Rattus norvegicus: one gene and its partner. The protein of the gene in region 2 binds, or shares a complex with, the protein of the main gene of each other region. Links are inferred from orthologs where the notes say so. Each region holds a gene or a part of one and is shown on either strand. Other genes may lie near its edges. The genes, in order: Fgf19 and Klb.

What was found.
Region 1: the proteins of Klb (region 2) and Fgf19 are in contact, whole or in part, in a crystal structure (PDB 6NFJ), measured with the Homo sapiens proteins. The link is inferred for Rattus norvegicus from reciprocal best matches to the Homo sapiens genes KLB and FGF19. Residues at the interface, in NP_783864.1 of Homo sapiens: Phe379, Lys380, Val392, Leu394, Trp419, Phe420, Thr421, Asp422, Val425, Thr431, Tyr434, Met435, Asn438, Tyr643, Glu693, Arg696, His743, Asn824, Phe826, Met832, Gln848, Phe849, Leu850, Gln851, Ile853, Leu862, Phe931, Phe942; in NP_005108.1 of Homo sapiens: Leu192, Thr194, Asp195, Ser196, Met197, Pro199, Phe200, Leu202, Val203, Thr204, Ser211, Pro212, Ser213.

What each region holds. Positions count from the first base shown.
Region 1 is NC_086019.1:209,484,203-209,488,721, forward strand, and holds the start of Fgf19 (fibroblast growth factor 19 precursor), read left to right. Parts: upstream 1-1,610; 5' UTR 1,611-1,740; coding exon 1,741-1,993; intron 1,994-2,175; coding exon 2,176-2,279; intron 2,280-4,519. UniProt on the Homo sapiens protein: Involved in the suppression of bile acid biosynthesis through down-regulation of CYP7A1 expression, following positive regulation of the JNK and ERK1/2 cascades. Stimulates glucose uptake in adipocytes. Activity requires the presence of KLB and FGFR4.
Region 2 is NC_086032.1:43,256,335-43,259,681, reverse strand, and holds part of Klb (beta-klotho), read left to right. Parts: intron 1-576; coding exon 577-1,720; intron 1,721-3,347.

The DNA of each region.
Region 1 (4,519 bases), on a different chromosome or scaffold from region 2:
ATCTTCACCTCTCACGATGTCACTTTCCAGAATCCCATTTTCTACCTCGTTCAGAGGTAGACCTAAAATCCACCCTGGAAAAGAATGTTCTTATGGGGGCCCTCAGGACTCTACAGACATTTCTCTGAGCGCTCCATTATCAACATCTCCAACTCTTCTGGGAGTCCCTGAGAAGGGAGAAGAGTAGGGTTGGGGTGCTGCCATCCGCACGTCACCCTCCAGCCCAATTTGGGGGGACTCCTCAGTGAAACCTCTGCCAACCTCCCGGGTACCCCACATTTATCATGGACATTAAGACAAAAGCGGCAGGAGAAGGCAATTAAGATTAATAGTCCGTGCTGTCAATTGAGAATCACAAGGGAGAAGTAATTAGATTTTACAGGAGACATCGCTCTCTAAAACAAGCCTCACAGCATGGGAGTCCCCGGTCCTGAGAGCCTTCGGTGATGTCTTTTTGTAAAGGCTTTCCTGGTGACATTCTCCCAGAGCTCCGTCATTTATGCCAGTCACTGATGGCGTCTGAAAGTGGCGTGTTCCTCATTGAGATTCATCAGACCTGCCATTTTTCTGTTGTCCGGCCCCTGCAGACAGACCTCCCATCACCACGGAGCTAGGCCAGTACCTCTTTCCCCAAACCAGCTTGGGGGGGGGGGCACACCCAGGAGTTGGGGGATTGGAGGCATAATGAGAAAGGCTACGCGCTGAACCAAAGCCCCCTGCGAGGACCCTTTCTTCCAGGCCGGGGAATTCTCTGCAGGCTGCCTCCTTTCTTTGCAAGAGCGGCTCAAGGAGAGGCCCCCATTCTCCTCCCACCTGACCCACCGCCAGCAGCGTCCACCGTTGCTCCTAGCTGGCCCCCTCCTCACCGGTACGCAGCTGTCCCCCGCGCGCAGACTCAAGGGCCTGATCACCGACCCAAGAGGGGACGCCGCGACCTCCCCTGCCCTGCCTCTGCGCGCTGGTCAGCTCATCCTTCTCAAAGTCACAGCCCCAGTGACTCTCGCCTTGTGGAGTCCACGCGCGAGGCAAGCAGAGGACGCACAGAGAGCAGCTGGCAGCACAGTGGAGGCCGAAACTGGGGCTGAAGCGCCACCTAGTGAGCGCGACACACTCCCACTATGTCTTCACTGTGTAGGGCAAATATCCATGAATAGGGAGCCTAGGTCTGGGGCTGGAGAATGTGGGAGGATCCGATCTGCGAGAGCGTGCCAAAGAAGAGACCCAAGACTCAAAACGGGGGTGGGGGGTACGGAGGCAGAGCTCTGCGTGCCTTCTAAGTCTCTAATGACCGTCCCAAGCGCAGCCCTCTGAAAGCCCAGGGCCTTAAGACCTCAGTAATTAATCGTAACATTAAAATAGCCTATTCAATAACCATCAAGACACTGTGCATTTAACACTCCCCCCACCCCACCCCCGGCCTTGGTCACAAAGGGGGCTCCTCCACTGCTAGATCTGGCCTGCCTGGGCGGGGTCACTGGGATGGGGCTGAATGGGTGTGTGCGGGGGGCGGAGACTTGATGCAATTAGGAGGACTGCCTTGCTACTGCGGTCACCTACACCCGGGCCAGAGGGACGAAACGTATATAAGGCCGCGTGCCCGGAGCCGCAACGCCGTCGAAGCAGCAGCGCCCCGCGCTGCAAGCGCCCGATTGCTTTGTGGGCTGTGCCTGCCTTGCGAGTCCCTGCCGCGTCGCAGTCTCCGCGCCACCTTTGTAGCTGCCTTCACGACCCCGAGGTGCCATGGCGAGAAAGTGGAGTGGGCGTATTGTGGCCCGAGCTCTGGTCCTGGCCACTCTGTGGCTGGCCGTGTCTGGGCGTCCCCTGGTCCAGCAATCCCAGTCTGTGTCGGATGAAGGTCCACTCTTTCTCTATGGCTGGGGCAAGATTACCCGCCTGCAGTACCTGTACTCTGCTGGTCCCTACGTCTCCAACTGCTTCCTGCGTATCCGGAGTGACGGCTCTGTGGACTGCGAGGAGGACCAGAACGAACGAAGTGAGTATCCACCAGCGTGTCCCCTCGAGTCCCTTAGGATCTAGGAGCACGTGGATATGTCACCGTGGCTTTAACATCCTCCCACCCCTGACTTCTAGACTAAGCTGGGGAAGGACGAGGCAGTGTGACGCCGCTGTACCCACGTGTTGCTGGGCCCAGGCAACTTTTTCCTTCTCTTGCAGATCTGTTGGAGTTCCGCGCGGTTGCTCTGAAGACAATTGCCATCAAGGACGTCAGCAGCGTGCGGTACCTCTGCATGAGCGCCGACGGCAAGATATACGGGCTGGTGAGTGTTCCTCCACGCGGCGGGATGCTCCGGGCCGCGCTGGGTCCATATTTGTTTTTTTTTTTTTTCACCTCCTGTTCAGGCCCTAAAGGAACTTGAGGCAAGGTACCAATGATAGTGAGGCTAATGTTACTCTTGCCCGCCCTGCGCAAAGTGATGGCCCCAGGCGGCAGCGGGGAAATGGGGAGGTCAGTGGAGCTGTCTAATCCTCCAAAGGCTGGGCTGGCTGCTAAGTCCCATTCAGCTTTCGGTCCCTTTGATATTGAACCGGAAAACCTGCCTCTTCCGTTTTTCATCTCCAGGCTTTGCGTGTGTGGTCCTCGGTTTTCTCCTCTCCCTCAAGTTAAAAAGAAAACAAAAAACAAAACAAACAAACAACAACAAAAAAAAGGAAGGATCTTTATGTCCTAGGTACACAGTGTGATGTAAAATTTAGAAATACTTTAGAAAGTCCCCAAGATGCTCACCTGCTTGGGGCCTCGGGTAATTGGGGTGAGGCGTGCTGGCCACAATCAGGTAACCCCTGAAATCCAGAGACTTGAAGTATGTGGGCTAGTGCTTTGTAGGGACAGAGGCTGGGTGTTAAAAGAAGCCTTCAGCCCTACCTCTGGGGGTACTAGCAGAGGCTGTGTGAGGTCCCTTGGCCGAGGCCTCCCATCTAGCTCTGGGCTCCTGGGAGAAGCTGGGACCCCCTATGAGGATAGCTACAGGACTCAACCTTTTCGTCCTTCTGTTTAAGAGTCTCAAAATTGTTTGCAGCACTGAGGTTGATTTAGCTACATGAAAAGACCACAAAGAGAGGAAAGAGAGAAAGGATTCTGCAGAGAAAGGAGGAGGTCCTCTGCCTGGCTGAAAGCTGACCCAGACCCAAGCAAATCTCCTGCCAGTGTCTTCCCGTTATTTATGACAAGGGTGCTGAGCAGGGGGTCCGACCCCCATTCTGCACTAATGTAAATAGTATAGGAAGGCCCACGGGAGCTTTGACCCCCAATTCCAGTGTTGTCCTGGATCCGGTGGGCATAGTTCATCACCAACTCTCCTTTTTAAAAAATAGAAACCCCACAATCCATTGTTCCTATATTAAAAAAAGGGTAGTGGCCAGTTGTCCATATGAATTCTCCAAGAGAAATACATCCCATGTTTATCTACACAGTTTTCATGGAACATGGCCCCTGTCGTGTGGTGGCTCTGTCCTAGTGCCATCAGCCAGGGCAGGAGCAATGGGTTCTTGGAATTAGCCTGTTATCAGAGCCTTATCTGCCAACAGTCTCCACCTGCAGGTCAGTGACCTCGGCATGCATAGGCAGACACAGCCTGTGTTTTATTGAGCCATGTAGGCTCCCCAAGGGGCTGTGGCACCAGTCTAGGAGACTGCAACTGATACCTCAAGCCTAGGGACTAGGAATATTCTGGTACTGGGGATGAGGATCAGGGACAGCTTCCTACAGCACTCATTTCCGGCCACCCACAGGGTGTGGGCTTGGTCCCGGGCATGGGGGGAGGAGCTGCGGATTATCAGGCAGATCCTGGCTGGCTGCCTGTGAGGGGGCTTCTCCTCTCACAATGGTAGGAGACTCAACCACCTCAGCATTAGAAAAGCTCCCTGTGCTGCAGGTCTAGCAAGGAAGGATCACTCTATCCCTGGCCCCAGGCCAGGCTGCAGCTACTACCCAGAAAATGCAATCTAACTGGGATCAGAGTTTTGGAAAGCAGATAAATAGTGATCAGAACTTAAAGTCACTTGTTAAAGGCCAGAAGACTTGCACACTGCCAGCTTCTGCATGGATATGGCTCAGTTGGGGTGGATAATTGGTACAAACCAGGCGCGTTGGCACATACCAACCTTCTGGTAGCTGAGGCAGGAGGATCACTGAGAGGTAAAGCCCACAGAGTGATACCCTGTCTTAAACACGATGGGGCTGGGGAACTGAGTTCAGCTGGTGGAGTGGTTTGCCTAGCACGCTCAAAGCCCAGAGTTCAGTTGAGCACTACGTAAACCCAGCTCAGTGGAGCTCACTTGTCTGTCATCCCAGCACTTGGGAGGTGGAGGCAGGAGGATCAGGAGTTCAAAGTCAGCATGGTCCAGGAGGTACCTGTTTCAAAATGGAAATCCAGACCTAAAGTGGTTATAGATGCCTTTAATCCCTGCACTCAGGTGACAGAGGCAGGTGGATCTTTGAGTTCTAGGCTAGCCTGGTCTACCTAAGAATCTGTCTCAAGAGGAAGTTGATGGATACTTC
Region 2 (3,347 bases):
CAAACTCATAGCAATCCTCCTGCCTCAGCCTCTTGCAATTATATTATAGGCATGCACCACTATTCTGAGCTATCATCCCCATCCCTCAGCCACTTTCAGGGATGGTGTGACAACCGGCCTCCTCTGAATGCATGTGCTGCTCAGTGACTCCTTTATAACCTCACCTGTGTCATCAGCTTACGACAGGGCTTAGACTCCGTCCTTCAACTGAGGGTACCAAGCTAATTTCCTGATGCATTTGAACTGTCACATGAGATGTTATATAACCTGGATTTTTAGGTCATGTGAGCTGGAAAATGGCTTATTAGGCTTTTCTCAAACAGCTGGTCTTCCTTCCCTGTGTGCGGTTCCTTCCCGGTATTTCCTGGCCTCCCTGGAGCATTGAAGGGCTAGAAGGATAAAAAAAAAAAGTCCTTTCTCCCACATTACCAGCAGAATAAACATCCTGAATACAGACTATTATGAAGGACAAAGTTACCATTTGTCTTGTAGTGAGAGGCTCAGCTCTTCCCATCTGACAGGTCGGGATCTGCCAGGAGCTACATTTGATTTACCTGGATGCGTTTGTTTCCACAGCCGGAGTTTACGGTGTCCTCCCCACAGTTTACTGATCCTCACCTGTATGTGTGGAATGTCACTGGCAACAGATTGCTATACCGAGTGGAAGGAGTCAGGCTAAAAACAAGACCGTCCCAATGCACAGATTATGTGAGCATCAAAAAACGAGTTGAAATGTTGGCCAAAATGAAAGTCACCCACTACCAGTTTGCTCTGGACTGGACCTCTATCCTCCCTACCGGAAATCTGTCTAAAATTAATAGACAAGTGTTGAGGTACTATAGGTGTGTGGTGAGCGAAGGACTGAAGCTGGGCATCTCCCCTATGGTGACGTTGTACCACCCGACCCACTCCCATCTAGGCCTCCCCATGCCACTTCTGAGCAGTGGGGGATGGCTAAACACCAACACAGCCAAGGCCTTCCAGGACTACGCAGGCCTGTGCTTCCAGGAGCTGGGGGACTTGGTAAAGCTCTGGATCACCATCAATGAACCCAATAGGCTGAGTGACATGTACAACCGCACGAGTAACGACACCTACCGTGCGGCCCACAACCTGATGATCGCCCATGCCCAGGTCTGGCACCTCTATGATAGGCAGTATAGGCCGGTCCAGCACGGGGCTGTGTCGCTGTCCTTACATTCCGACTGGGCAGAACCTGCCAACCCCTATGTGGAGTCTCACTGGAAGGCAGCCGAGCGCTTCCTCCAGTTTGAGATCGCCTGGTTTGCGGATCCACTCTTCAAGACTGGTGACTACCCGCTGGCCATGAAGGAATACATCGCCTCCAAGAAGCAGCGAGGGCTGTCTAGCTCAGTCCTGCCGCGCTTTACCTTGAAGGAGAGCAGGCTGGTGAAGGGGACCATCGACTTTTACGCACTGAACCACTTCACTACTAGATTCGTGATACACAAGCAGTTGAATACCAACCGCTCAGTGGCAGACAGGGACGTCCAGTTCCTGCAGGACATCACCCGCCTGAGCTCGCCCAGTCGCCTAGCCGTAACGCCCTGGGGAATGCGCAAGCTCCTTGGGTGGATCCGGAGGAACTACAGAGACATGGATATCTACGTCACAGCCAATGGCATTGATGATCTTGCTCTAGAGGACGATCAGATTAGAAAGTACTACTTGGAGAAGTACGTCCAGGAGGCTCTGAAAGGTAAGCTTTGGAGCATACAGAGAGGTGAGGTGGCAGAGGAATATATACTTGACAGCAGTGAAAACCTAGGCATAAAATTCACCACCGAGGTTCAGTCTTAGCAGGACCCAGGGCTTCCCCTTCAGTGAACCAGACTATGGGGGGGGAGGGCGGCAATGGGGGGAGGGTTGGGAGGGGAACACCCATAAGGAAGGGGAGGGGGGAGGGGGATGTTTGCCCGGAAACCGGGAAAGGGAATAACACTCGAAATGTATATAAGAAATACTCAAGTTAATAAAAAAAAAAAAAAATCAAATAACCAAAAAGAAAAAAAAAAAATTCACCACCGACTCAAGACCTGAGGCCCCCGGCTCTAGTCCATTGGATTTCTTCCTTAAAATAGGCCTTTATGATTGAATTTTAAATTTTTTGTTTTGTTTGTGACCATGTCTGTGTGGTCCTGTCTTGAAACCTGCTATGTAGACCAGGGTGGCCTTGAACTCAGAGTTCTGAGTGACCCAGCCTCTCTGCCTTCTGAGTGATGGGATTAAAGGCACATGTACCATCATGTCTAGCTAAATTTTTAATTTTTACTTTCATCATTAATGTTTTTTAGACAGGGTCTAAATAGTAACCTGAGTTGACCCCTATCCTGCTTCTGCCTTCCAAGCAGTGTCATTATAAATCTAGGCCACCACATCTGGACTTTTACAACGTGCCATAATCTCAATACGTAAAGTGGCAAAGCATTTTCTCCCCTGGGAAATCTCACTTCCCAAGAAAAGTGCCATCTGTTTTGGATTATTTCCAGCGAGCTTCCTAGATATTCCTAATACAGTTGAGCTGAGGCTTATAACTCTTTTGCCTACAATTTTTTTGGGAGGGGACTTGAACCCAAGTTCCATTTGGCTGTACTAAAAAACTACATCCCCATATCCCTAATTTTTATTTTTATTTTTTTGTGGAGCTGGGAATTTAACCAAGGACCTCGTACATACTCGCCAAAACACCCTACCACTGATCACTCACCAACTTTCTCTTTGTGGTGCTGGGGTTCAAACTCAGGGCTTTATGTGTGCTAAGCAACCAACCTCAAAGCAGTCACATAACTGGTTTTCTTTGTTTCAAGACAGGGTCTCGTATATCCTAGGCTGGTCACAAACTTCTGCTCTCCTGCCTCCCCCTACACTTGCAGGCATGTGTAATCACACCTGTCTCAACCTTTTTAAAACATTGGATGTGTTCCATGTCATCAAATCAATTTATTTATTAATTATGGATGCAGCATTTGCCTGCACATATACCTGCAGGCCAGAAGAGGGCACCAGATCTCATTACAGATGGTTGCGAGCCACCATGTGGTGGCTGAGATTTGAACTCAGGACGTCTGGAAGAGCACCCAATGCTCTAACCTCTGAGCCATCTCTCCAGCCCCATTATTAAAATTCTTTCCTTTTTCTTTTTCTTTTTTTTTTTTTCCGGAGCTGGGGACCGAACCCAGGGCCTTGCGCTTGCTAGGCAAGCGCTCTACCACTGAGCTAAATCCCCAACCCCCATTATTAAAATTCTTATCCACCACCACCACCACCAAAAGAAAAACAAAAAAACAAAACAAAGAAAACCCCAAAACAACAACAACAAACTACTC